Sus scrofa: one gene and its partner. The protein of the gene in region 2 purifies or fractionates together with the protein of the main gene of each other region. This does not show direct contact. Links are inferred from orthologs where the notes say so. Each region holds a gene or a part of one and is shown on either strand. Other genes may lie near its edges. The genes, in order: TAPBP and TAP1.

Evidence for each region.
Region 1: the proteins of TAP1 (region 2) and TAPBP purify together in Homo sapiens (co-immunoprecipitation; 6 studies listed by BioGRID and IntAct, with this or other methods). This does not show direct contact. The link is inferred for Sus scrofa from reciprocal best matches to the Homo sapiens genes TAP1 and TAPBP.

The regions. Positions count from the first base shown.
Region 1 is NC_010449.5:29,670,578-29,675,181, forward strand, and holds the start of TAPBP (tapasin), read right to left. Parts: upstream 2,877-4,604; 5' UTR 2,066-2,876; coding exon 2,026-2,065; intron 1,886-2,025; coding exon 1,715-1,885; intron 1,494-1,714; coding exon 1,233-1,493; intron 1-1,232. Other genes in the region: ZBTB22 (zinc finger and BTB domain-containing protein 22), read right to left, coding at 3,029-4,604. UniProt on the Homo sapiens protein: Involved in the association of MHC class I with transporter associated with antigen processing (TAP) and in the assembly of MHC class I with peptide (peptide loading).
Region 2 is NC_010449.5:25,065,395-25,069,057, reverse strand, and holds part of TAP1 (antigen peptide transporter 1), read left to right. Parts: intron 1-255; coding exon 256-461; intron 462-886; coding exon 887-1,084; intron 1,085-2,146; coding exon 2,147-2,275; intron 2,276-2,446; coding exon 2,447-2,635; intron 2,636-3,449; coding exon 3,450-3,623; intron 3,624-3,663. UniProt on the Homo sapiens protein: ABC transporter associated with antigen processing. In complex with TAP2 mediates unidirectional translocation of peptide antigens from cytosol to endoplasmic reticulum (ER) for loading onto MHC class I (MHCI) molecules.

The DNA of each region.
Region 1 (4,604 bases), about 4.6 Mb from region 2:
CCAGAGCCACAGCAACGCGGGATCCGAGCCGCGTCTGCAACCTACACCACAGCTCACGGCAACGCCAGATCATTAACCCACTGAGCAAGGGCAGGGACCGAACCCGCAACCTCATGGTTCCTAGTCGGATTCGTTAACCACTGCGCCACGACGGGAACTCCGCTAATTTATTCTTGGTGCTAATAAATATTTATTTAATCAGTAAATAAATTAACAAAGTGTCTCCCTTAATCGTCACAACAACGGAAAGGGAGATGGGAAATACCAACCACATTTTAGAGCTGGAAAAGCAGACTCAGAGAGAAAAGGACATTCTCTCACCCCCACCTTGGGAAGCCAACAGCCTGAGAAATATTCCTACCTACTCGGAATACTGTTGCCAGAATAAGCGGCTCGCCTCTGCCCCTGTCCACGTCTGGGGACTGAGAATGGAGGTGTAGGTGCAGGTCAGGGTTGCAGGGTGGGCACTGAGCCCTGTGGGTGTAGGGACTCCTGGCAAATGGAGGGTGTAGGGTTCAGCTGGGCTTGACCAACCCAGGCTGGTCAAGTTGTATTGTTTCCACAAAATTGCTTAAGCCTGAAGGAAGCCAAGGACTCTGTTTATATCCTGCCCACCGTCCACAGAATAGTTCCTAGAAATTCCAAGTCCTGGACAGGTCAGATCTTCCCTACTCTTGCATTTTCCACCCACTCCCTCTCTGCGCCCAACCCTGACCCCTGGACCCCAAATTGCGTAGCATGATGCAATAAGTGGTCCTTGCAGCTGGAACCATCTGCTCTCCCGCCTCCTCTCTTCCATGCACTCAAGCCCACTATTTGGTGACCACAGGGTCAACACGTCCTCACAAGGAGCTGTCGGGGAGGTCAAGAAGCTTGTGCTCAAGAGCCCGTGCTTAGCTATCTGCCAAGGATGTCTAAACTAAGCGAACCGCAAAGGAGGGGGCACCTAGCAAGATCTAGGCGGGAAAGGAGAAAAATTCCTTCTCCCGAGACACTCCAAGACCCATCGCCCCACCCCCCCAAAGCCCCGCCCCCGGAATACTGCGAAGCCCCGCCCCAAGCCGCAAGTCTTTAAAAAAACTGGGCTGGGCCTAGAGGCAGCAGTAGGTATAGCTAAATTTTAGCTGAACTGCCTGGATCTACAAATAAGGAAACTGAGACCCCACTGGGGAACCGGCTTTTCTGGACCCTTAGAATGTACCCATTTATTTCCACTTCCCCTCCTTAGCTACCTGTTGCCATGGTGATGAGAGCAGGCTCCAGCTGAGGCTCAGACTGCGGCTGAAGGAAGCTGGAAAGGCTGAGTACCGGGCTGGACATACTGACCATTAGCCACTTCCCGTCCAGGGCCCGCGGGCACCTCTGCTCCGGAGTCAAGCCGCTGACCCAGTCGGGCGAGGCGGGGAGCGGGATATAGTGGCTCATCTCGCAGCGTGGCGCGGGGGCGTCCCGGGGGTACTGCCTGAAGGCGGCTAGGAGGGCTCCCGCAGGGTCTGTGAGAGCAGAGAAGGGAGGTGTAACTGTAGAGTCGCCGCCAGCAAAGGGGCAGGAAGGCGGGATTTCAAACCGGCAAACCACCCGGTAGTGAGCGATTCACAGGTATTCCAGCTTCATTTTACGGAGGAGGAAACAGGCCCGCGGACACTACAAGACCCAAAGAGGAGAGGCTTTCGGTGGAGGCGACGGAATTGGGAGCGAGTCGGGGAAGGCTCACCGTGCACTTTGAGGTAGAGCTCTGGCTCGAGGTCCGGCCGAGGAGGTGGGCTCCCGGGGCCCTGGCGCAGCAGCAGGGCAGCGGGTTTCTTGGACAGCTGGCCCCGGCCCGCATCCTCCACGAACCAGCACTCGATCACCGCGGGACCCGCCGAGACGGTGGACGCCAAGCCTGGGGTGGAAGGGTGCGGGTGAGGTGTTGGCCCCAATATCAGGTGGTCTGACCTCTCCCCACCCCCTACCCCCCACCCCTGCCGTGGCGGGGTCACCTCCCACCGCTTCTCTGAGCAGAGAGTCGCGGGGTTAGCTCACCCAAAGCTACTACAGAGAGGAGCAGAGACAGAGGCTTCATGGCGTCGCGATCCTCTCAGCTCCGCAGCCTCCTCTTCCCCCTTTCACTTTCACTTTCCTCCAAAGGCCGCAGGTGGGACGGAGGAAATCCCCGCTCGGGTTAGGTGAAGGCGGGGGAGGCAGGTGCTTCCCCGCAGGCTGCACCGGAACCTCCTCTCCAGTTCTGGTCTGGGGACCTCAGTCGCACCCACTCCCCCCCCCCGCCCTCCTGGACCACCCAACACCACAAAGTCCGGAGCCCTCCCGCCCTCTGGGCTCCCCCTTCCTCTCCGCCAGAATCCCCTTCCCTGAGAACCATCCCTCCACCATCCCCCACCTGTGCCAAGTCCCCAGCAAACACATAGGGGGTGTCGGGAAGCCAAGTGAAATGACCAATAAATATTTTAATCACCATTTAAAAAAAATAAGATTTAAAATAAAAACTCCTACAACTTACTCCCTCCTTGTCTTCACTCCCCCCTCCCCAGTGAGAATCAAGGTGGGGGACGCCAAGGTGGGGGAGGAGAGGTTAGGGTGGAAATAAGGGGCACATCCTTTGAGGGACAGGGTATGTTCCAGGACAAGGGTGGGGCTCAAAGACCTGGTCCCCACAACAACACAAACACAGACTTCAGGTACAGACTACAACCACCTGACCCTTGACCCAGCGACTCCAGGATGCTCCACTAGCCCCCTCTCCCTCCCCACTCCCCACCGAGTGCGCCCTATTCTACTCTGGGGCTGGGGCTTCAGTGTACCCATCTGAGGGGGACGAAGGGCTGGGTTTGGGGATACTTTGGGGAGGAGGGGCTGCAGAGTGGAAAGGGGTGATCCGTGGTGCAACGCGGTCCCAACTCCAGAATATGTACAAGTCTATTGAGATAGGAAGACAGTAGGTGTGTGGGGACACCACGTAAGAGCCACAGGGCCCCTGGCTCCCGTTCCTCTTCCCTCCTTCGCAGGCTACCCCCAGTAGCCCGCCTCTTCAGTTTGCTCCTCCGCCCCCACCGAAGCCCATTTCCACCTTATGGACACTGGGCGGGGACCAGACCCGTCGGCTGGGCGGGGGCGTGGTCCCACTCGCCTCGTCGCCGCTGCCCCGGCCTGGAGACTCTCTCTTGGGTTGCACGGCTGGCCCGGTGGGCCCCCCGGGTCCCGCCCCAGCCCCGGCCCCGGCCCCGCCCCCACCTAGGCGGTGCCGGCGCTCACAGTGTCCCCGGTGGCGCATGAAGCTGTCTCGCCACATGAACTTCTTGGCGCAGACGCCGCACTCGTAGGGCTTGAGGCCTGTGTGAGTCTTCATGTGCTCCGTCAGGTGATGCTTCATCTTGAACTTCTTGTTGCACACGGGGCAGTCAAAGGGCCGCAGGTTCAGGTGCATGTTCACGTGCCGATCGCGCATGCTCTTATGGGAGAAGGCCTTCCCGCAGTGGCACAGAAAGATCTTATTTCCATCCCCACTGCCTGTTCCTCCAGGGGTCCCACCAGTGCCACCCGGCATGCCCAGGGCCCCTGCTGACGCGCCCCCCAGCGTCACAGCCCCGTGTTCAGTTTGGTTCCCTGGTGGCTGGCCTGGAGCCTGTGAGGAGGAGGAGGAGGTGGATGAAGAGGATGGGAAGACTAGGATCTGGTTGCCCTGCATGTCCAGCGGAAGCAGGGGCCTAGGAGGGTGGGAGGGAGCATAGGAGGAAGGGGTTGGTCCCCCTGAATCCTCAAGCCCCCCTCCGGGACCCCCACTCTCATAGGGGCCAAAGTCATTGGAGGACTCACAGAAATTGACCTGCTCCTCTCCCTTGTCTGGAGGCTCAGACAGGGTCCGGACATCACTAATGCTAAGGGTCGTCTCAGGTTCTCCCCCTGGTGGAACATGGGAGCCACCCCCCAGCTCTTCATCTTCATCATCCTCACAGGTCAACACCAAGTCTTCCTCCTCCTCATCTTCCTCCAGGTCTGGGTCTTGGGGAGCCAGGGGTGCTGGTGCGGGGCAGGTTCCACCCCGCTTCACGTACACCCAGTGTTTCTGTGGTACGATGCTGGGGGGTGCATAGACCGGCCGCCGGAGCCCAGCCCCAGGGACCACCGCCCCCCTCCCATCCCCGCCATCATCACACAGCTCATCTGCCTCCAGCAGCAGCTTCCCAGAGGTAGCCCCTCCACTGCCAACCACCGGGGCTGGGAACACAGGGCCACCACCTCGACGCTCCCCGCTGCCCACTGCAGAAGCCGCAAAAGCCTCTTGGGATGAAGAGGAGAAATCAGTGGACTCCCGGGGGCTGAAGTAGTTGCTGCTGCTGGGGGACTGATTCTCACTGGCCCGGCTGGAGGCATGAGAGCGCACGGAGCCCACAGCAGCAGGGGCTACACTGCCCCCACTCCCGGGGGGGACCCCTGCACCAGGGACAGTGACGGATGTTGCTGCAGCAGTAGTGACGGTGGTGGTGGTGGCTGAAGCCCGGCCCTCTCGGAGGAGTTCAGTGCACTTGTCCACGATGTGCCACATCTGGAGCACAGACCCCACTGTGAGGAAGTTGACAATGTCGGCAGCGGCCATGCTGAGCCGG
Region 2 (3,663 bases):
AAGTCTGCAACCTACATCACAGCTCACAGCAACGCCGGATCGTTAACCCACTGAGCAAGGGCAGGGATCGAACCCGCAACCTCATGGTTCCTAGTCGGATTCGTTAACCACTGCGCCGCGACGGGAACTCCTTTTCCTGACCTTCTTAGAACACTGTGTTGATGCCCTTCGCTGTGGCACCTGGCTCATTGCTCGTCGCTCCCATCACTCTGAGCCTCCTGTTCACTCCACTCTCTTCTCTTGAACCCTTGGCAGGTGCCATCACATCTCGGGTAACAGAGGACACATCCACTGTGAGTGTGTCTCTGAGTTCGGAGCTGAGCCTCTTGCTGTGGTACCTCGCACGGGGACTGTGTCTCTTAGGGCTCATGCTCTGGGGGTCACCTCCCCTCACCATGGTCACCCTGGCCGCCTTGCCACTGCTTTTCCTTCTGCCTGAGAAGCTGGGGAAATGGCACCAGGTATGTCTAGGGAGTTGCCTCAACCTACACTGACCCTCATCCCAGACTTGGTGGGCTCAGATCCCTTTCCTGGCACCTTCACTGGTTCTCCTCTTTGTGGGACTCCTTGTCCCTGTCGTCCATGTTCCCAGATTGCTCAGTGTTGATCTTCACATCCCTTGTGTCTTCTCTTCTAATGCCTGCCCACAATCTGTCTTTAAGAACATGATCACCCATCTCAAGAATATGCTCCCCTACGACGCTTCTAAGTCATTTTCCTCTTCTCTGTATCCTTTAGTATCTGGGGGCCTGGCTGTGTCCCTTTGTCCCCTTGCCTTCCCTCTGCCACGTCTCACCTTTAAACTCTAATCGGATAACTCAGGTACTAGTGTCCCCTATGGTTTGTCAACAATCATGTGTGGCATCTCTGGTCCACGTCTCCACAGGTGCTGGCAGCACAGGTGCAGGAATCTCTGGCAAAGTCAAGCCAGGTGGCCATTGAGGTTCTGTCAGCTATGCCTACTGTCCGGAGCTTTGCCAATGAAGAGGGTGAGGCCCAGAAGTTCAAGCAAAAGCTGCAGGACATGAAGACACTCAACCAGAAGGAGGCCCTGGCCTATGCGGTCGACCTCTGGACCACCAGTGTGAGCACCTGCAGATGACTGCCTAGTCCCTTGTCCCCAAGATGCCTCAATGCCATTCCCTTTCCCATGACCCTGCTCCACACTCTTCCTCCACTGCCCAGTGGTTGGTTCAGTGGCCATATTCTAACAACCGGAGGCTCAGTCACCCTACTCACTGTTCCTAACCCCCTCCCCCCTTTTTAGGCGTGCTAGATGGCTTCCTTTCACTACGGTACACAAAAATCCACCCAACCCTCTCTTTAGGGAAGTGTTTTCCAAGGCCTTCTTTTGCCTCAAGGGGGTGCTCAGAGGACTATAAATTCTGGCACCCTGTCCCGTTTCATGCTGACACTACATGGATGCTAGTGAGAGTCCTGGGAGTAGCAGAAGCAAGGATGAGGGGCACCTGTGATGTAACCGAAAGCGAACACGACCAGCCATCAAGTTCCTATCACGATGCTGCCATTTTCCGGCTCTGTGACCAGGGGCTGGTGACTTCACTTCTCTGAGACTGTTTTCTCAGTTTTAAAAATGGCAGTGACCTAACCTTGTTTATGGGGCTTTTGATGCGACTATTAGATGACATTACATTCATGAAAGCCTTTTGTGCAGAGTAAATGCTTCCCAGACAAGGTGATAATGGTGATGGTAATAACGATTGGCTTCTTTTCTGTATAACTGAGTGAGACTCCGTGGCATTGCTATGGTTCATTCCTTTTTTTTGTTTATTTGTTTGTTTTTGCTTTTTAGGGCTGTACCTGAGGCATTTGGAGTTTCCCTGGCAAGGGGTCCAGTCGGAGCTACGGCTGCCAGCCTACCCTAGAGCTACAGCCACAGCAACACTAGATCCGAGCCACATCTTTGACCTACACCACAGCTCATGGCAACACCCGATCCTTAACCCACTGAGCGAGGCCAGAGATCGAACCCGCAACCTCCTGGTTCCTAGTTGGATTCGTTAACCACTGAGCCACGACGGGAACTCCAAGAACTTCTTATCTCCTTAATGCTAATGATTCTGCTTCTCTGCAGCCCCTCTAGATTTTTCTACAAAAGTCCCTTTTCTGTGTGGTCTCTCCACAGATCTCAGGGATGTTGCTGAAGGTGGGAATCCTGTATGTTGGCGGGAAGCTGGTGGCAGGTGGGGCTATAAGCAGCGGAAACCTCGTCACATTTGTTCTCTACCAGATCCAGTTCACCGAAGCTGTTCAGGTGAGGTCCTTCCATTCTCACATCCCAGGGCTTTTCCCTCCCCTGTCCCATCACCATCTGAGTCACCTTCCTTCCATGCTTTGCCCTTCTCACATCACATAATCCTGGCAGGCAGATTAGGTCCCTCCCCCACTACCTCCTCCCATCTCACTATTCATACCTCCCCTCCAGGTACTGCTGTCCACCTACCCCAGGGTACAGAAGGCTGTGGGCTCCTCAAAGGAAATATTTGAGTATCTGGACCGAATCCCTCGCTGCCCGGCCAGTGGATCGTTGACTTCCTTAAAGTCAGAGGGGCTTGTCAAGTTCCAGAATGTCTCCTTTGCCTACCCGAACCGACCAGAGGTCCCAGTGCTGCAGGTACAACCCACCAACCCCTGCACTCCACCAATCTTCCTCTCAGCTCGATCTGAATCGTCTTCCTGCCTTCAGTCTGCTTAACATCAGGTGTAGCTAGATCCTTCTTTACCCTTCAGAGGCAAAGATGAGCATCATCTGTTCCATAAAATTGCCCCAAACTCAAGACCTAGTTTGGATTTCCAGGGAGGACAGGAAAGGAGGCTTTCAGGGAGAAGGCTGTCATATCCTAAGGAACTGCTGCAAAATCTGTGTATCCATCTGGTCTTCCATCTTTCCTTTTTCTTGCCTTTTTTCTTCCTTTTTTTAATGGTCACACTGGGCCAGGAGCTGAACGCCTGCATCACAGCCACAGCAACACCGGCTCTGAGCCACTTCTGTGACTGAACGGGGCAGCTGCAGCCACACCAGATCCTTAACCCACTGGGCGAAGCCAAGGATTGAACCTGTATCCTCACGGACACTATGTCAGGGTCTTAACCTCCTGAGCCACAACAGGAACTCCTCCTTTTTCTTTCCATTTGTGATTTCAAATGTGATTTTTTTTTTCTTTTTTTCTCCTGGTCTCTGAGATTGAGTGTGCGGCATGGTCTTTGCCCTGGTCTTTGTCTCTTCTTCCATCTCTAGTCCACGGGGAGGTGGCATCGCTGAGGAGCAGAAGTCTGTGCATGTGGGAGGGTAGGAGTTGCTGTGTTTCTCCACTTTCCTCTTTTCTTCTCTGGGGTGAGACACTGACAAAACAATGGGCCAAGTCCATGACGCTCTTAAGGTTAGGGGCCTTGATCTGCCTCTTAGTGTGTGATTCTCTGGCCTCCAGGGCCTCACGTTCACTCTACGTCCTGGTGAGGTGACCGCCCTCGTGGGGCCCAATGGGTCTGGGAAGAGCACCGTGGCTGCCCTGCTGCAGAACCTGTACCAGCCCACGGAGGGGCAGGTGCTGCTGGGTGAGAAGCCCCTTCCTGAATATGAGCACCGCTACCTGCACAGACAGGTGAGCAAGAAGGTGGCACAGGGGAGGGCAGGGAGCTGCG